2 linked regions of the Caenorhabditis elegans genome follow. The protein of the gene in region 1 purifies or fractionates together with the protein of each later gene. This does not show direct contact. Each region holds a gene or a part of one and is shown on either strand. Other genes may lie near its edges.

The links.
Region 2: the proteins of mec-19 (region 1) and mec-4 purify together in Caenorhabditis elegans (affinity purification with western blotting, with the first as the bait; one study listed by BioGRID). This does not show direct contact.

Annotation. Positions count from the first base shown.
Region 1 is NC_003279.8:12,562,806-12,566,688, forward strand, and holds mec-19 (uncharacterized protein), read left to right. Parts: upstream 1-1,550; 5' UTR 1,551-1,716; coding exon 1,717-1,839; intron 1,840-2,650; coding exon 2,651-2,886; intron 2,887-2,969; coding exon 2,970-3,000; 3' UTR 3,001-3,090; downstream 3,091-3,883. Other genes in the region: C49G9.2 (uncharacterized protein), read left to right, coding at 164-244, 1,091-1,227, 1,271-1,352; Mitogen-activated protein kinase kinase kinase dlk-1, read right to left, coding at 3,324-3,413.
Region 2 is NC_003284.9:16,802,727-16,809,251, reverse strand, and holds mec-4 (Degenerin mec-4), read left to right. Parts: upstream 1-2,136; 5' UTR 2,137-2,137; coding exon 2,138-2,320; intron 2,321-2,680; coding exon 2,681-2,936; intron 2,937-2,983; coding exon 2,984-3,346; intron 3,347-3,398; coding exon 3,399-3,510; intron 3,511-3,726; coding exon 3,727-3,887; intron 3,888-3,984; coding exon 3,985-4,133; intron 4,134-4,180; coding exon 4,181-4,338; intron 4,339-4,380; coding exon 4,381-4,469; intron 4,470-4,562; coding exon 4,563-4,735; intron 4,736-4,786; coding exon 4,787-4,882; intron 4,883-5,005; coding exon 5,006-5,120; intron 5,121-5,164; coding exon 5,165-5,225; intron 5,226-5,282; coding exon 5,283-5,411; intron 5,412-5,459; coding exon 5,460-5,535; intron 5,536-5,674; coding exon 5,675-5,860; 3' UTR 5,861-5,931; downstream 5,932-6,525. Other genes in the region: cas-1 (C-CAP/cofactor C-like domain-containing protein), read left to right, coding at 1-147, 242-820, 885-1,091, 1,303-1,449, 1,495-1,575; aak-2 (5'-AMP-activated protein kinase catalytic subunit alpha-2), read right to left, coding at 6,402-6,503.

The sequences.
Region 1 (3,883 bases):
ACCATTCTGCTGCCTCTCTCTCCAAGTCGTCACTGCTGTACAGCCAAAGAAAAAACTTTCGATTTTCATACACTAATCGACCCTAAATAACTAGACCATCACAAGCCAAAAGCAAGAAGGAGGCCATATTTTCTTTCTCTACTATTTTTTTGGTAAATTGGAAATGCAACAATTCGAAGGATGGCTCCAAATTAAACAGTTCGGCATATTCTTCCTTGGTGTTGTGGTTGGCAGCTTTTGTACGGTGAGTGTTTGGGTACGGTAGCACGGAAAGTACGCAAACACCGAATCCTTAAATTCTGAGAAAAATCAATGAAAACCTGGAAAATTCATATATTAATTCCTATAAGTTTAAAATGTTTTTTTTTCAATAACTTACAAAATTTTTTATAATTTTTGAGAGCTCTCATTTCAGTAGAGTAACTAGACTCCGCCCGCACCGGCTTAGGCTCCGCCCCTTTCAGACCCCATTTTTTAAAGTTTTTGAGAAAACTACAAAACTAAAAAAGCTGCGAAACTGTTAATTTTCGAACTTCAATAGACGAAAATTTTTTTCAAGTGTCTGAAAAAAAAGTGAATTGAATAAAATCAATATTTGGCTCCGCCCCTTTCAGACCTCTTTAAGTTTTTGATGGAAAATGCTCAAAAGTTATTTTTAAAAAACCCATTATTTCAACTTCAAAATAGTAATATTTCATTAAGGCCGCAAAAGCTTCAAATTTGGGTAAAATTCAGGTTAGGCTCCGCCCACATCAGATTAGTCTCCGCCCCTTTCGGACCCATTTTCAGAATTTGGGAAAAAAGCTCTGGAAAAGGTTTCTTTTTAATTTCAAAATTTTAAAATATGATTTCAGATCTAAAAATTTTAATGTTCTGAGTATAGAAAAAACGAAAAAAAAGGAAAAGAATAGGCTCCGACCCATTTTCGTGTCGAGACCGAAAAATCTTTTTTTCGATAAACTTCAAATTTCGTAAAACATGTCTTTGTCATGATTATACTTTTTTGTTGAAATCTCTCAGTTTCCCGAGTTCAAAAAACTTAAAATTTTTGAGCTCAACTCAAAATTTGACTGAAAATTTCAAATTCCAGATTATTCTCTTCTTCTACGGATGCTTCAAGTCCTCCACACTGTCGGCGAAGCCCACTGAGAGCTCCGGGGATTCAGGGAATTCTGAAGATATTGAAAGTCAAGAAACACAAAGACCACCAGCTTATTCATCATTAAAGTAAGGTTTTTAAAACATTGAAAGTTTTCAAAAAAAATTTTAGATTCGACAAAAAGCCGAACACATGCAAATGCTGTCGTGTGCTATCAACAAAACTAAATTCAAAAAATGTTTCAAAAAAATAATAAAAAGTGATTCTCTCTGCCTTCTCTGTGTCTCTCAACACCCCCTCCCTCTAACATGAGCGACCACAGAAGCTTTTCCATTAATTTTTGAGCAATGTTTCCTTTTTTTTGGGATCGCTGCTCAGAGTTGTAGAGACAACTTACGTTTTTCAACCTCTTTTTTCTGCGGAAAATTCTGAAAAAATCGATTTTTTTTCTGGAATACTTTGAGCATTTTTTGAGCTTTCTGGGCTCAATTTTCAGCCAATTTTTAAATTTCTAAAAAACTTTTTTTAAAAAGAATTTTTCGTCTGTTTTGCATGCTACTTTTTTTCAAAAAATTTGGGGCAAAATCCCAAAAAATTCCGCAAAATTACAGAATTTTATGGGTGGGGGCAGCGGTCTGCTGATAAACTCCAATCGGCGAAAGGGCTCGAGTTCCGGGTTTGGATGTGAGGGATGGTTTTGTGATTTGATGGACGGTGCAATGGTTATGTTAGTGGTTATGGTGAGTTGGGTTTTTTCATTTAAAAATCGATTTTTGAAACAAAAAAGTATTTTTTTTTAATTTAAAAAGTTGAAATTATTTAAAAAAAACAATAACTTTTTATAAAAAAATTTCTCAACTTTAAAAGTATTAAATCCGAGTTCAGCAAACCAAGAGCTTTAATTTAGGTATAATCATGACCAGGCTCCGCCCCTTTTGAGTTTATGCTCCGCCCATTTTAAGCCATAACACCCGCCCAATTCCAGGAAATTGTCAACACGAAAAATCAACAGTTCTGAATTTTTAAGCTTCCTTATTAGGCTCCGCCCACTTTCAATTTCAGCTCCGCCCACTTTTGGTCCTGCCACGATTTATGGCAAAGACTGCGCTCATTTTAACAAAAGCAATGCAATATTCTTGATTGCCAAAAAATAAATTTTTAAGTTTTTTTTAGGTTTGTAAATTCCCAGGCTCGCCCAATTCTGGGTTAGACTCCGCCCTTTTTTTGTAGGTTATAAAATTCTCATTTTCACCTTGAAAAGTGTTTATTCCATTTTAAATGTTTTGATTTGATTTCCCTCTTGTTTTGACTCCGCCCATCGCAGGTTAGGTTCCGCCCACTTATTGGCTCCAGCTCAATTTTCAAAGCTGACGGATCCTAGTCATGATTATACTTAAACCAAAGCTAATACTGAGATAAATAAGGATTTGATAATTTCATGAAAATTAAATCAATAACCGAGGAGTTTTAAAAATCTAAAGATATATTTTGAAATATAAATTTCGAATATTTTTTGTGGAATTAACAAATTCCCCAAACAAAAATTTCCAGGTTATCGCCACAGCTCTCATAGGCTGCCTAAAAGCCTGCTTGTGTAAAAAACAAAAACAATTGCTCCGTGAGCCCAAGCCAACATCAGAAGCGGCGCAAGAGGTGCCGAATGGTCCAGAACTACCACAAATCTCAGAGGCTCCGCCGCCAATGTTACCTGTAGTGATTGTGTTGGAAAATCCACCAGAATACGCAGAAAACGATCAATATATGCCTCCTGCTTATTGTACCTTGAGGTAAACATTTAAAGTTAAAAATTTTTTATTATTTATTTTAGAAAAAAAATCCAAATTTTTTTTTTCCAAAATTTTTTTTTCAGATTCAACAACGACGAAGAAGCCCAAATATAATAGGTTTATTGATTTTTTTTTGTTTGTTTTAATTATTTCAAAATTGTTTTATATTAAAATAATAATACTAATAAACAAAAATAATCGATATATGTATTTTTACACAAAAATTATATGTATTTTCTTACTCAAAAATATTCAAAAAATATTCAAAAATAGGAACCGGTGTTCACTGGGATTCGTTCTACAAAACTAGAGTTTACAGGGACATAGGGACTACTGTAAGTACTTTGAAAATGGCAAAAATAGCTCTGGAATGAATGAACAAATTGAGATGTGGAGGAAGGGATACTACAAAAACTACAAATATTGGTGGGCGGGGTTTAAATTCGGACTGCTCCGGCATCGTCACTATCATCTGTTGCAGAGGTGGTGTATTCGTCGATGCATTGGTGGATTAGGGCTTGTGGATTCTGGAATTTTGGAAAATTAATAAATTTTTAGTTTTCAGCCAACAATTTTGTTGGAAACTGGATTTCAGATAATTTTCACTAAAAAATTTGAATTCGGCATGCAAAGAGCTTTGATTTAAGTATAATCATGCCTAGGTTCCGCCAATAATAGGGTTAGGCTCCACCCACTTCTTGGCTTGTCAAGAAGTATTGCGAAATTTTAACGAAAAGTGTAAAAAAAACTTGTGAGTTTTGAATCAATTTAGTGTTAAAAAAATTAGATTTTCTGCTATTTTTAGAAAAATTTCCAAGTATTCCCTAATATTTCGTGATAGGGCCCAGAAGTGGGCGGAGTTAAAAACCAAAATGGGCGGGTCCTTGGCAAAATTAGAAGTAAGTAATTTCAACTCCGGAAACACGATATTTCGTGAGGTTTTGGAGAATTCCCTAGTATTTCGCCAAACTTGACGAACCATTAAGTGGGCGGAGCC
Region 2 (6,525 bases), on another chromosome or scaffold:
GCCGAGGAAGCTCAGAAGATGCTCACTCCAGTTATTAACTTGCTTGGTGAAATCAACAATTTCAAGGACACGAAGAGAAAGACCCCTCACTGGAACCATCTCAATTCGGTGGCTGAAGCACTTCCGGCTCTTGGATGGGTGACCGTGGTATGTTAACATTCAAAAGTTGAAATAAAATATTACTGTGCTCAAGATTCGATAATCTTAACATACATATTTTCTAAACTGCTTCTAATTTCAGAAGAAAACCCCAGCTCCATACGTGAAGGAGTTCATTGAGGCTGCTCAATTCTACATCAACCCAATTCTCCGCGAGTTCAAGGAGACCGATCCAAGACACGTTGAGTGGACCAAGGCTTGGAAGGCTGTATTTGAAGAGATGCAGAAGTTTGTTCGTCAAGTTCACACTACTGGTCTAGTCTGGAACAGCGCTCCAGGAGCCGCCCCTGATGCTTCTGCCTCTGCTCCATCTGCCGCTGCTCCATCAGCTCCAAAAGCTCCAGCAGGTCCAGGAGGACCACCCCCACCACCTCCACCACCACCAGCCGACTTCTTCGCCAACATTGCTCCGCCACCAGTAGATGCTGACAAGGCAAGCCGTGATGCTCTCTTTGCTTCGTTGAACCAGGGAGAGGGAGTTACTTCTAGACTGAAGAAGGTCACGGCCGATATGCAGACTCACAAGAACCCAAACCTCCGAGGAACCGCTGTTGTGCCAGCCGCTGGTGCTTCTCAGGGCGGCTCATCTCCTGCCAAACCAGCTGCTCCAGTAAGGAAGCCACCACACAAGGAGCTGGAAAACGGAAAACAATGGATTGTGGTAAGTGTTTCAACAACTTGAAAAACATATTCAATAAGCATTATCAATGAAAAACTATTTACAGGAGTACTTTGTCAACGATCCAAACATTGTTCTCGATGTTGCCGATAAGAAGCAGACTGTCTATATCTACCGTTGTGAGAATTCTGTGATTAAGGTCAACGGAAAGGCCAATTCTATTACTTTGGACGGGTGCAAGAAAACGTCTGTTGTGTTTGATGCCCTTGTGGCTCAGTGCGAAACTGTCAACTGCCAATCTGTGCAAATTCAGGTAATCAGAAGACTTTTAGTTGTACAAGCTTCAATACAAGCTCAAATACAATACTATTTTTTTTCCGTCTGAACATAAAATTAGTTTCTAAATAAAAAATGTGAAAATAAATATTTGGTTTTAATCGTTAAAATCTTCCAAATTACTAATAAAGTTCAGTCAACTATATGCTTCGAAATTCACTGAATCTATTATTGTTATTAATTTTTAGACCCTTGGAGAGCTCCCAACTCTTTCAATCCAGAAGACTGATGGATGCCAGGTGTACTTGTCAAAGGTGGCTCAAGGATGCGAGATTGTCACTTCCAAATCCAGTGAGATGAACATCTCCGTGCAAACCAATGATGATGGGGATTATGTAAGTTTTTCGGATTGTAGAACCCAATCTAAATTTCCTTTTCAGTCGGAGTTCCCGGTTCCGGAGCAGTTCAAGACAACTTTTGTCAATGGCAAGCTAGTCACTGTCGTCTCGGACATTTGCTAAATCTTCTCACGTCATAACCTTATTTTTCAACTTCATGAACTATCCCCTCGAACTTTTTTATTTGTCCCTGTCTACAATTCTTTATAAGCAATTGAGACACACTTTGCTTTATTAAATAATACCGATTTTGTTTTGTATATGCATTGACTGGTGCTCAACTATTTTTATTGAAAAAATTACTTTTTACTGTCTCGTCGAATAAAAGTGATCCCTTCCAAAAAATAGTTATTCATGTTTGAAGGTTTGTGATCGTAGAACAATTGCACCGAATGTAGTGTAAAAAAAATTCCAGAATGTTCAAATACATTTCCACCCTCACCAGAACATCTCAAACACCAGGCACATTTCAACACACTTTCATGGATCTTATCTTGCCTCAAAACCATCAGCTTTCTTCTCATTCTACAAGTATGAAACAATCTACTATTCTATACATTTATAATGTAATGGAACCATGTGAAGACATGAGCAAGATCATTGTCGTCAGCGACTACCCCTCCTTCATTTTTCTTAGAGTATCAGTTTGCTAATGCTATTTTTTTTATCGCTATCAAGTTATAGAATGTCATGGATGCAAAACCTGAAAAACTACCAACACCTTCGGGACCCATCCGAGTACATGTCCCAGGTTTATGGAGACCCGTTAGCGTACTTACAAGAGACGACTAAATTTGTGACAGAAAGAGAATATTATGAAGATTTTGGTTATGGCGAATGTTTCAACTCTACAGAATCAGAAGTACAAGTGAGTTTACGTAATTTTCAAATTGCAACGGTAAATTTTATTTTTGTATGCAATTGTATTTTGTTCCCAGTTTTTGAAATATTCGTTATATACATTGAAGTTTTTCAACTGTAAATTTGAAGGCCCGTATTTTCTTAATTCTTCGATAAGTATTTTGTCTTTATAACTACTAAGTTTTTGCTGAATCAACTTGTTTATTTTACTTTGATAGCTTATCTGCAAAACTGTACCAAAATTAAAAACCAAGATTTTTTGTTTTGGAACAATATAATCAAAACGCTTAAAATGTTCAATAAACGGTAAAAAAAATAAAACTTGCAAAAAGTCGCAGCTGAGTAATCTAACATTTCCGAATTTCAGTGTGAACTTATTACGGGAGAATTCGATCCAAAATTGCTACCCTATGACAAACGTCTAGCCTGGCATTTCAAAGAGTTTTGCTACAAAACATCTGCTCACGGAATTCCCATGATTGGTGAAGCTCCAAACGTATATTATCGAGCAGTTTGGGTCGTACTTTTTCTTGGATGTATGATAATGCTCTATCTTAATGCTCAATCTGTGCTTGACAAATACAACAGGAATGAGAAAATTGTCGATATTCAATTGAAATTTGGTAGTTTGAAAAATCATGTGCTCCTTACTGAGCTTTTTTATTTCCAGACACTGCACCTTTTCCAGCAATTACGCTTTGTAATTTGAATCCTTACAAAGCAAGTTTAGCAACAAGCGTGGATTTAGTAAAGCGAACGTTGTCAGCATTTGATGGAGCAATGGGAAAAGCCGGAGGAAACAAAGATCACGAAGAGGAACGCGAAGTTGTCACCGAACCACCCACCACCCCTGCACCCACCACAAAACCGGCACGTCGTCGAGGAAAACGTGATTTATCTGGAGCATTTTTTGAGCCAGGATTTGCAAGATGCCTTTGTGGAAGCCAAGGGTCTAGTGAGCAAGAGGATAAGGATGAGGAGAAGGAGGAAGAGTTACTTGAAACAACTACCAAAAAGGTATTTAATATTAATGGTGAGTGTTGCATGTCAAATGAGCATCGCGTAAAACATTCTTTTGAACACAGATGCCGATGAGGAATGGGATGGAATGGAAGAATATGACAATGAGCATTATGAGAATTACGATGTGGAAGCAACTACTGGAATGAATATGATGGAAGAATGTCAATCAGAGAGGTAAAGTCTAGTCTAACAACTTTGACAAAAAAGTGTTTGAAAAAGTCTAGTCTTACAATTTTGAGGTACGGTAAAGTTTGTCCATTTTGATAAGTCCAATTTTTGAGAAGGCTCAATTTTGCCTTCCATAAATTTGAAATTCATATGGTTCCAAAATACAGAAGTTCATAATGAGACGTTTCGAAATGTTCTCCACAAATCTTTTTTCTCGTTCAGAACAAAATTCGACGAGCCGACGGGATTTGACGATCGGTGTATTTGCGCTTTCGATAGATCAACTCATGATGCGTGGCCCTGTTTTCTGAACGGAACCTGGGAAACCACCGAATGTGATACTTGCAATGAACATGCTTTCTGCACCAAAGATAACAAAACTGGTAGGTTTTTCAATCACTTTGCCAAACTAGCTTCACTTGTTTGATTTTACTCTTCTTAATTTTTATTGTTGTTTTTTTCTAAATCGGAATTTTTCAGCGAAGGGCCATAGATCCCCATGTATTTGTGCTCCATCTAGATTCTGTGTAGCATACAACGGAAAGACGCCACCAATTGAAATTTGGACATATCTTCAAGGAGGAACTCCAACTGAAGATCCAAACTTCCTTGAAGCTATGGGATTTCAGGTAACAATCACAAATATATAAATCAAGTGGAAACTGAAAAGTTTCAGGGAATGACAGATGAAGTTGCAATTGTCACTAAAGCCAAGGAAAACATCATGTTTGCAATGGCTACCTTGTCAATGCAAGATAGGGAACGGCTAAGTACTACAAAAAGGGAACTTGTCCACAAGTGCTCGTTTAACGGAAAAGCGTGTGATATCGAAGCGTTAGTTAGGCTTTCAGATATGATATAAATTCAATTATTCAGAGATTTTCTGACTCATATTGACCCTGCGTTTGGTTCGTGCTTTACCTTCAATCATAATCGAACAGTAAACTTGACTAGTATTCGAGCAGGTTAGTTTCCTCAAAATTTTTTCCACATATTTTTTTCTAAAATAATTTTTGAAGTCCGTTATGTATAAACCAAAAAACGTGTTCCGATTCCAGGTCCCATGTACGGATTACGTATGCTGGTTTATGTAAACGCGTCTGACTATATGCCAACCACGGAAGCCACAGGCGTTCGTTTGACTATTCATGACAAAGAAGATTTCCCATTTCCTGATACGTTCGGTTATTCTGCTCCAACTGGATATGTATCCTCATTTGGATTACGATTGGTATTAGAAATTCAAACTCTTTTTATAGAGTAATGGTGTTGTTGTTTTCAGCGAAAGATGTCACGTTTGCCAGCACCTTATGGAGATTGTGTGCCAGATGGCAAAACATCGGACTATATTTACAGCAATTATGAATATTCGGTAGAGGTGAATAGTAAACAGAATTTAAGCAAGTTTAGTAGGAAAAATGGGTCATAGAAACTTTGTGATTCTTGTTAAAATAGCAATTAAATATAGAACTTAATATGATAACAGAGGGAACTATTCCAGGGCTGCTACCGTTCTTGCTTCCAACAACTCGTGCTGAAAGAGTGCAGATGTGGAGATCCACGTTTCCCAGTCCCTGAAAATGCACGGCATTGCGATGCAGCAGACCCTATTGCAAGTTAGTTTCAAATTTGACATCTCCATAAATATTTTTTTCTGCAGGAAAATGTCTTGACGCCAGAATGAATGACTTGGGAGGCCTACACGGATCTTTCCGTTGCAGGTAACTTTTGAATTGTTATATACTTTTTAAATAAAAAACTGCAATTTCAATTTTAAGATGCCAACAACCATGCCGCCAGTCAATCTACTCCGTTACATACTCGCCGGCAAAGTGGCCGTCGTTATCTTTGCAAATTCAACTAGGATCGTGTAATGGTACAGCGGTAGAGTGTAATAAGCATTATAAGTAAGTTAATTCAAGAAAAAACACACTTTAAAATTGGGCCTATTTGAGAGAGAACGGAGCAATGGTGGAAGTGTTCTACGAGCAGTTGAATTTTGAAATGCTCACTGAATCAGAGGCTTATGGGGTGAGTTGAAAAATTTAGGCAAAGAACGTGTATCAAAGAAATGTATCAAAAAAATTCGAAAAAATGCCGAATTACTACTAGCGAGCAGGCAAAAAAAAATTTATTTTTATTCCAAAAAATTTATCTCAACTATTTCTAGTTTGTCAACTTGCTAGCCGATTTTGGTGGACAACTCGGTCTTTGGTGCGGAATATCCTTCCTTACCTGTTGCGAATTTGTGTTCCTTTTCTTGGAAACTGCCTACATGAGTGCCGAACATAACTACTCTCTGTACAAAAAGAAGAAGGCTGAGAAGGCAAAGAAAATTGCGTCTGGATCTTTCTGAATTTGTTTTTTCTTGTTTTAAAGTTACCATTGCAATGTTGTGTCTTAAAATAAAAATTTACATGAGAATAATTGAATAATTTTGGGTAGGAAATTATTCAATTAATATTTTACTTACAATAGACACAAAGAAGTAGGAGAAGGGGAGTTTAAAAGACAGAAAAAAAAACTACTGAAGAGAAACATATAAAAAACAGAAACAATCACTCGCTGAAGGAAAATCTATTCACAGAAACAAAGGGGGTGACAAGTCAAGTCATAACTTTAAATAATTATTTGTATGGTTACTTGTCAAAATTGGCTGAAAATGAAAGCGGCACTAGAATAGCATCAATTAAAATACGTGGCATTTACGGAGGTGAAGGGGGGAGGGGCAAAACCAAACAGAGTCAAGAAAAAAAATACAAAGATACTGTAAGCTGCAACAAAGTGAACCAATATAAGAAACGGGGGTTTCAAGCTTAATACAAGGAATGGAAGAAATAAATTTTGAGACAGAAAAGTTGAATTTTACACAGAGCATTGTTGGCATCAAGGAGTGCTTAACGAGCCAGTGTTCCAATCAATGCGGCGCAAATCTCAAAGAATTGCATAGTCTGGGAAAGCTTAGCTCCTCCAGGAGATGGTGGTGGTGTCACATCGCACTGAAAATACTCGGTCATTGAA